2 linked regions of the Rattus norvegicus genome follow. The protein of the gene in region 2 binds, or shares a complex with, the protein of the main gene of each other region. Links are inferred from orthologs where the notes say so. Each region holds a gene or a part of one and is shown on either strand. Other genes may lie near its edges.

Evidence for each region.
Region 1: Pigq (region 2) and Pigy share a complex: the UniProt entries of both Homo sapiens proteins name them as parts of the glycosylphosphatidylinositol-N-acetylglucosaminyltransferase (GPI-GnT) complex. The link is inferred for Rattus norvegicus from reciprocal best matches to the Homo sapiens genes PIGQ and PIGY.

Annotation. Positions count from the first base shown.
Region 1 is NC_086026.1:28,964,983-28,968,628, forward strand, and holds Pigy (phosphatidylinositol N-acetylglucosaminyltransferase subunit Y), read left to right. Parts: upstream 1-1,442; 5' UTR 1,443-1,717; coding exon 1,718-1,933; 3' UTR 1,934-2,894; downstream 2,895-3,646. Other genes in the region: uncharacterized protein Pigyl1, read left to right, coding at 48-257, 493-1,131. UniProt on the Homo sapiens protein: Part of the glycosylphosphatidylinositol-N-acetylglucosaminyltransferase (GPI-GnT) complex that catalyzes the transfer of N-acetylglucosamine from UDP-N-acetylglucosamine to phosphatidylinositol and participates in the first step of GPI biosynthesis.
Region 2 is NC_086028.1:15,456,400-15,460,209, forward strand, and holds part of Pigq (phosphatidylinositol N-acetylglucosaminyltransferase subunit Q), read right to left. Parts: intron 1,672-3,810; 5' UTR 1,662-1,671; coding exon 973-1,661; intron 1-972. UniProt on the Homo sapiens protein: Part of the glycosylphosphatidylinositol-N-acetylglucosaminyltransferase (GPI-GnT) complex that catalyzes the transfer of N-acetylglucosamine from UDP-N-acetylglucosamine to phosphatidylinositol and participates in the first step of GPI biosynthesis.

The sequences.
Region 1 (3,646 bases), on a different chromosome or scaffold from region 2:
GAGTACACGCGGGTGTGCTGCAGTACATGCGTGGAGGTCAGAGGACAATGCGAGAAGAAAATAGGTTCTCCACCGTGGGGGTGGGGGTCCCCGAGGATCGAACTCAGTTACTAAGGCTTGGCAGGAAACGCCCGTACTCGCTGAGCCCTCTCATCGGCCCAAACTACTATTTTGACATTCACCAATTCAAACGTAAAACGACGGATCGGACTCGTTCCCCGCTGCTTCAGAGGCTGGGTGATGGTGGCTGCGACCAAGTTTGATTCAGGCTTCAAGTTTATCAGTTAGAAATGGGGAAAGCTTTTCAGCGCAGAAAGACACCGGTCTGCTCTGGAACGCCGTGAACACACTCTGCGGCAAATACGTTCCTCTCCAAGGTCCAGCAGTCCTGGCACACAGGACGCCCAGCCGGAGGCCGTGGGGTCCGGGGCAGGGAGGTCCTTATCAATCAGGGTCCTCTCAGCACCCCTCTGGCTTCACCCGTCACTCAAGACTACGGGGGCGGAGCCTGAGCGCCGGAGCGAAGGCGTGGTGCGCTGTCCAATGAGCACGCGCGGATCGGCTCCCTCGCGGGATCTGGGTTTCTTACCCCGCCCCCTCAGGGATTTGATTGGGCGGCTGGCCCGGGTGCTCCGCCTTCGTAGAGCGGTGACGGTCACAGCCAGGCGCAGCCGGGACCCGGACATTTACAGGCCAGTGAATGGTGAGTTCAGGGTCTCGAGATCCGATACGGGCGGAGGAGCTGTTGGAACCGGCTGGGACAGGACTCGCGCTAGCAAGGCGTCTGCGCCACGGACGCCTCCGGTTCCGCTTGGCTGGCTGGTTCACTTTCGATTCGGCCGGGTTCTCCTCTGCCCTGTTCGGCTTGGTCCGGTTCTCTCCGGCTTGGCTCGGTTCTCTCCGGCTTGGCTCGGTTCTCTCCGACCCGGCCATCGCTACCCTCGGTCAGCCAGAGACTGCAGCGGGACCCGGGTGCCCCTTCGCGTCCCCGAGGCGACTGGGCCCAGGGCTGGCGCTGTCTTCACTCTGTGCATTGACGACGGGCGGCTCGTGACGAGGCTCCGGGTTCCGGTGCTGGTCCCCAGCCGGTCCTCGTCGTACGGGAAGCCTCCACTCAGGTGTCTGAAGTGAATCTGGATTTGTAGGTCTCATTCCGCTTCCTCGGTTCGAGAAAACACTATCAGTCCACCTGTCCTTCATTCTGCTTTTCGAATTTCTTAGTTCCCAAAGAAATGGATGACACTTGAGTGTTTTGAAGGTTTGTTTTCTAGTCGGGCGTGGTGGCTTGGGAAGACTGATGCAAGAGGATCCCAATGTTTGAGGCCAGACTGCAAGTGACAGCAATCCTCCTGCCTTTAACCTGCTCAGTACTGTACAGGCTGTTTCCCCTTCTTTTCCTTTCCCTTCCCCTCATCTTGTCATCTTGCACTTTTCTCATACAGTAAGGAATCCTTTAGCCAGCGCTGCGAGGGACACGTGTGTTGTCTGCAGTCGCTGGTAACCGCTTCGTGTGGTGGTGGATTGGATCAGAACGAGGCTGAGGAGCCGTCACCCTCAGCCTGGGACCGCTGAAGTTTTTGTGTGCTCTTGGGAAGCATGCCTGGATGAAAGAGGAGTCCAGAGAAAGGGAAGATAAGACAGGAGTGCACCAGCACAAGAACATAACTTTGAAAACAACCGAGTTTTCTTGAACTGTATACCTTCAGAAGGGAGGAGGATGATCCTGTCTCTGCCCACCCTGACTGTCCTCATCCCGCTCATCTCCCTGGCGGGCCTGTTCTACTCCGCCTCTGTGGAAGAAAACTTCCCAGAGGGCTGTACCAGCGCCAGCAGCCTGTGCTTCTACAGTTTGCTTCTGCCGGTCACCGTACCGGTGTACGTGTTCTTCCACCTGTGGACTTGGATGGGCCTGAAGCTCTTCAGACATAACTAGGGTAGCTGAGGCCCCGCTTGTGCACGGGGCAAGAGGCTCCTGGTTGTTGGGTTCTGCCCTCAGGTGTTGCAGATTCTCCTGTTAGTGCTGTAGCTGAAAAACACTTACAATAAATATGTCCCAAGGGAGAGGAACATGACCGGTCTTCATCCGAAGACTGTTTTTTCTAAGATTTATTCTTAATTATGTGGATATGAGTGTGGGTCCCCAAAGAGGCCACACGAGGGTTGGAGGTACGAGCAACTGTAAGACTGCCGGAGCTTTACTCAGATCCTCTGCAAGGGCAAGCAAGTTCATGTCCTTAACCCCTGAGCATCTCTCCACCTGCCTGTTTCCTCCCTTCCCTTAGTTCTGGCTAACCTCAAACTGTGAGAGGCAGACCTTGACCTCCTTACCTTCCTGTCTCTACCTCCTGAGTGCTGAAGTTATAGGCAAGCATTGCCGCATGTGTTTATGTGGTCTGGCAGAACCCAGGTCGTGAACGCTAAGTCGGCACTCTGCCAGCCAACCACCCTGAGGACTGTGTTGTTGTTGTTGTTGTTTTGAGTCCATTCATTTAAAAGTCCGTCATTTGGAAGCCGAGCAGTGGTGGCACTCACCTTTACTCCCAGCACTCGGGAGACAGAGGTGGATCTCTTGAGTTTGGGCCAGCACAACGAGACTGTAAAAATAATAATTTGGGATTTTGTTTCAGCTTCAAGGTCAGTGGTGAGGTGTTGGATCTGCTGAGACAAGGGTTTCAGATGGTTGGGAACTACTGTGTGGGTGCTGAAGAAAATCCAGTGCTCAGGGATGACTCCTTTGAGGAGCTGAGTGGTCCGTAGGTTGGTGGCTCACAACTGCCTGTATTTCCAGTTCCAGAGGCTCTGACTCCCTCTGCTGGACTCTGGGTACCTGCACACCTGTGACATGTCTATTCATTCACACACATTAATAAATTTATTTTTAAGAGGGAAAAAAATCTGACTATAAACTTACCTTCATTGTTTTTTCTTTTACATTTATTTTTTTTCTTTTCTTTTTTTTCAGAGCTGGGGACCGAACCCAGGGCCTTGCACTTGCTAGGCAAGCGCTCTACCACTGAGCTAAATCCCCAACCCCTCTTTTACATTTATTTATATGAGTACACTCTAGCTGTCTTCAGACACACCAGAAGAGGGCATTGGGTCCCATTACAGATGGTTGTGAGCCACCATGTGGTTGCTGGGAATTGAACTCAGGACCTCTGGAAGAGCAGCCAGTGCTCTTAACCACTGAGCCATCTCTCCAGCCCCTACCATCATTTTTTCAGTGTCAGGTGAGCAAGGTCAGTGTTGGTGTTTTCTGGTTCTTGGATTCTTATTCAAGGAATAAAGGCCCATATACAGATTTTCAAAGTTGCAAGGAAATTTCACTCAAAGCAGAGCTAGATCAGGCATGCAGATACATGAGCCTATGGGGGCTCTTCTTACTCAACCACGACACCTGTTCTCCCAGCCTAAATTCCTCTGACTCCTTATGACTCCCTGTACCTCTAAGTTCAGAGGCTCTGCCTCCAAAAGCACTGTACTCAGGTTTTTAACACACACCCCTAAAAATAAACACAAAGTTTTCAAAAAAGAGAACATGTTTTCTTTGGCTGAAAGCCGTCCATCCTTGCTTGAAGGTAAGCCAGAGATGGGTGTGACCATTGCCAGTTCTTGATGCCTGCATTGGACAGAGTCTGGAAATCCT
Region 2 (3,810 bases):
AGAGGAGAGAACGAACATCATCTCTGAGAGAAAAGGGCCTCCAGGCCCTCATTCTTCATTCACAAGCTAAACTAAAAGAACCTAGGGTTACCCAGCATTCCAAGGACTTGGGGACTTTTCCAAACTGCTCACCAGGCCAGCAACCCATGATTCTAGAGATCATGGGTGAGTACCACCACCCCAGACAACTGGCTGGCCTGGAGAGGAACTGCCCCTGAAGCCAGCTGTGGGGAAAACAGAAAAGCAGGGGAGTGGGCAGTTCTGTGTCCTCACAGGTCACTGCAGGCAAGGCAGGTATTGCACTCTCACAGGCAGAACTTGAGGCCAGCCTGGTCCACATAGCGAGTTCCAGGCCAGCCAAGACTATATAGCTGAGACCCTGTCCCAAACACAAAAATTAGTGAGATAAGCAGAAGACAAGGTTTAATTCCTAGCACCCACATGACCCTCTCTCTGACTGGGGATGCACAGGATACATAAATGCAGACAAACATTCATACATACGTAGTTTTTTTTTGAGACAGGGTTTCTCTGTATAATATCCCTGGCTGTCCTGGACTTGATTTGTGGACCAGGCTGGCCTTGAGTTCACAGAGATCCCCCTGCCTCTGCCTCCCGAGGGCTGGGGTTAAAGGTGTGCATCTCCACTGTCCAGCTACATATAATTATTTTAGGAGTGCAATAACCTAGGCTTGTGCTCATCAGAGTTCTCTCTTTGGTGCTTGCACTGTCTGCGATTCATTCTACACCCAACTAGGTGGGCCTCACACAGTCGGTCTCCAGGAACAGCAGCCTTTACTACGATATGCTCTACCATGCAAAGGGAGGGAAGGGAAGACGAGAACTGGGTCCCAGGAACACCAGCCTCAGGAGGGACCCTCTGGCTATCGATGCCACTGCACACTGAAGGGAGAGCCTGTGGTTCTCGAGGGACCAGTTTCTTATTCTACCTTTCCTGTCTGAGGCACTTACCGACAAGCACTGGCTGCTGAGATCAGGGACAGCAGAGAAGCCAGCAGCAGGCAGACAGGCCCAGAGGCCCGCTTTGCCAGCTCCACAAGTATACTGGCCTCCACTCCCTCTGATTGCCAGTGGCTCAGGCGCACAGGTCCCTCATCAAACTGGTCATTTCGGAAGAGAACCTCACTGCGTGCCACTGTGTCAAAGATGTCAGCTAGGCCTCCAGTGCTGGCTGTGCTGTCTCCAATCTGGCAGTCAGGTAGTACCGGAGGTGGATGCAGCCAGGAGAGCAGCAGCTTGCGCTGGTCATAGAAAATGAGCATGACCTGGTCTTCAGTGGGTGTGTCCAGAGTGCTAGACATCTGATGGTAAGTGGCCTTGCAGCTCCAGAATCTGGTGCCCTTCTCCCGGCATAGCTGCAACCAGGGATTATGGGAGAAGATGGCACCCAGGCCCTCTAGGAATTTCCCCAGGCTCTCCTCTGGTTCCTGCTGACGGTGGCACCAGGTGCCTAGCACAGTCACTTGTACTTGGCTAGCCTTCTGCACCTGGGCCAGGAGCTCCTTGACTTGGATGGGGATGAAGGGAAAGTGCACCACAGCCAGGATCACAGCACTATTCTGTCCTGGGACCCACCGTCCCACCAATAGGCCACTGTCTGCTGAGGCACAGCATGTGGGGAAGAAGGCCTTGAGCACCATGCCGGGGGCCCTGCAAGAGAGGAGAGAGCGTTGTTTTAGAGCTGCTGCCACTGTGTAGCTGGCAGCACAGTGGCTGCAAGACGCTGTAGCACCCTTACAGATCATTCACCCGGCCGGCCACAGGTTGGAAAAACACAGTTCGGGATTTGGTAGGTCATGGCTACGTATCTCACAGAGCCTGTACTCTTCCAATCACTGCCTCAGGAAACAGCAGACATATGTGTGATGGCTGGGCAGTGCTTCCTCATGTTCCAAGGCACGCAGCCTAAAGCAAGGCAAAGTGAGATACAGATACTGTGGACTGAGAGGAGTGTGGGGCTGAGCCTGAGGGCTTTCATGAGAAAGGCCTCATGAGTGACATCTGTAAAAGCACACAGTATGAGCACGTACACAAAGCACAACTATAACAGACCAGAAGCCAGCCAGCTGTGTAATGCACACACACCTGTAATTCCAGCAGTGGAGAGGTGGAGGCAGGAGTGCCAGGAGTTCAAGACTAGCCTTCAGAAGAAGAAGGGGTTGGGGGAGATGGCTCTTGACTATAATCTCAGTATACTTAGGCGGCTAAAGCAGGAAGATCACTGCGAGTTCAAGACCAGCAAGGCCTACACATGAATTTCAGGGAAGCCTGGCATACACAATAAGGCTCTGTCTCAAACAGCAACAAACTGGATTTACTTAAGTAAGAGTTAAGGTAAAATTTTAAAACCTGGGACTGGAGAGCTGCTCAGAGGTTAAGAGCACTTGTTGCTCTTGCAGAGGACCTGAGTTTGATTCCCAGCACCGGTACGGTGGTTCATAACCATTCATAACTGCAATTCTAGCAGATCTGACACATGTGTGGTTACACATACATACACGCAGGCAAAACCTCATACATGAGGTAAATCTGAAAAGGTATTAAGCCTGTTTTGGAGGGTCAGGGATAGTTTTCAATGGAAGAGGGCTTGCCTAGCATGGCCAACATTCTGAATTTGATCTCAAACACCACCAAATAACCAAAAATAAAAATAAAAGTGACAATAAAAAAAAGAAAAAGAAAAGTGAACCAAACAAACTTGGTTTGGGGCTCAGATACAGCACCGGTCCTAAGGCTGAGTCTCAGGCCCCTGCTTGAAGGAGCCTCTCCTGCAACAGGGAGCATGTCCTCCTGCCGCTGAAAACTCACCAATCCCTGAGCTTGTCCCTAGCTCAGGATTTGAAATCCCACCAATCCCCACCCTGGAAAACTTGGTCCACCACCCCACCCTCCCAAGAAATCCTATACAAGATTGCCTCTCACGGTTCTTGGCTACTTCTGGCCCAAAACGAGGTAGCTGCCTTCTGTCTTTCCCAATAAATCTCTTGAATGAGGCTTGTTGTGTGGTGTGACTTTGTGCTATTCCTTGGCACCAGACTTCCAGGACACCTTTCCCCTCAGAGATGTGACACAGAGACTCAGTCTCGAAAGGCAAGTAAAGAAGGGACTGGAAATGTAGCTCTGTAGTAGAGCTCCCTCTGCTCTGCCCTCTACTCACCTCTGAAATCCTTGACAGACACCCCAAGACAGGGCTCCCGGCAGAGCAGTATTTCTCTCCATGAGAGAATGTCAATGCATTTTCTGAGGGGACACTAGCCCTTGAACTCCTCAAAGGCCCTTGGTGTGACCTTTGAGCATCAAGAACCACCACAGCAGCTACAAACCCTTTATTCTGTGAACCCTACACCTTTCCCTCCACAGAAAGGAGCTATTTGGAGATTGTGGGTTTCCTTCGCTTGTGCCTGCTGGACTGAACTGCTGGAATGTTTGGCAAGGTCCAGGTGCCTACATAGGCATTTCTTTAGTCAATACCACATCTTGCCCATGTGAAGTGAAAGACACCCAGAGCAAAGACCCCCATTTTTGGATCCTTTCCTGAGGGAGGCCCAGATCTTGGGCTGAAGCCTGGTTTCCAGGTCTAGTGTTCACATAAAATAATTGGAGAGAAGAGGACAGACGGATGGTAACACAAGTGGTGGTGGTAGCTGTCCTAAAGACAAATGCCCAGAGCTTGAGGAACCCAGATACTTCTGCTCCCTCCCTGCAAGCATACCAGCCCAAAGAAACCGTCACGTGAACAACTTGGCAAAGCTTTTTGTTTTTGTGACACTGAGGATTAGACCTAGGGTT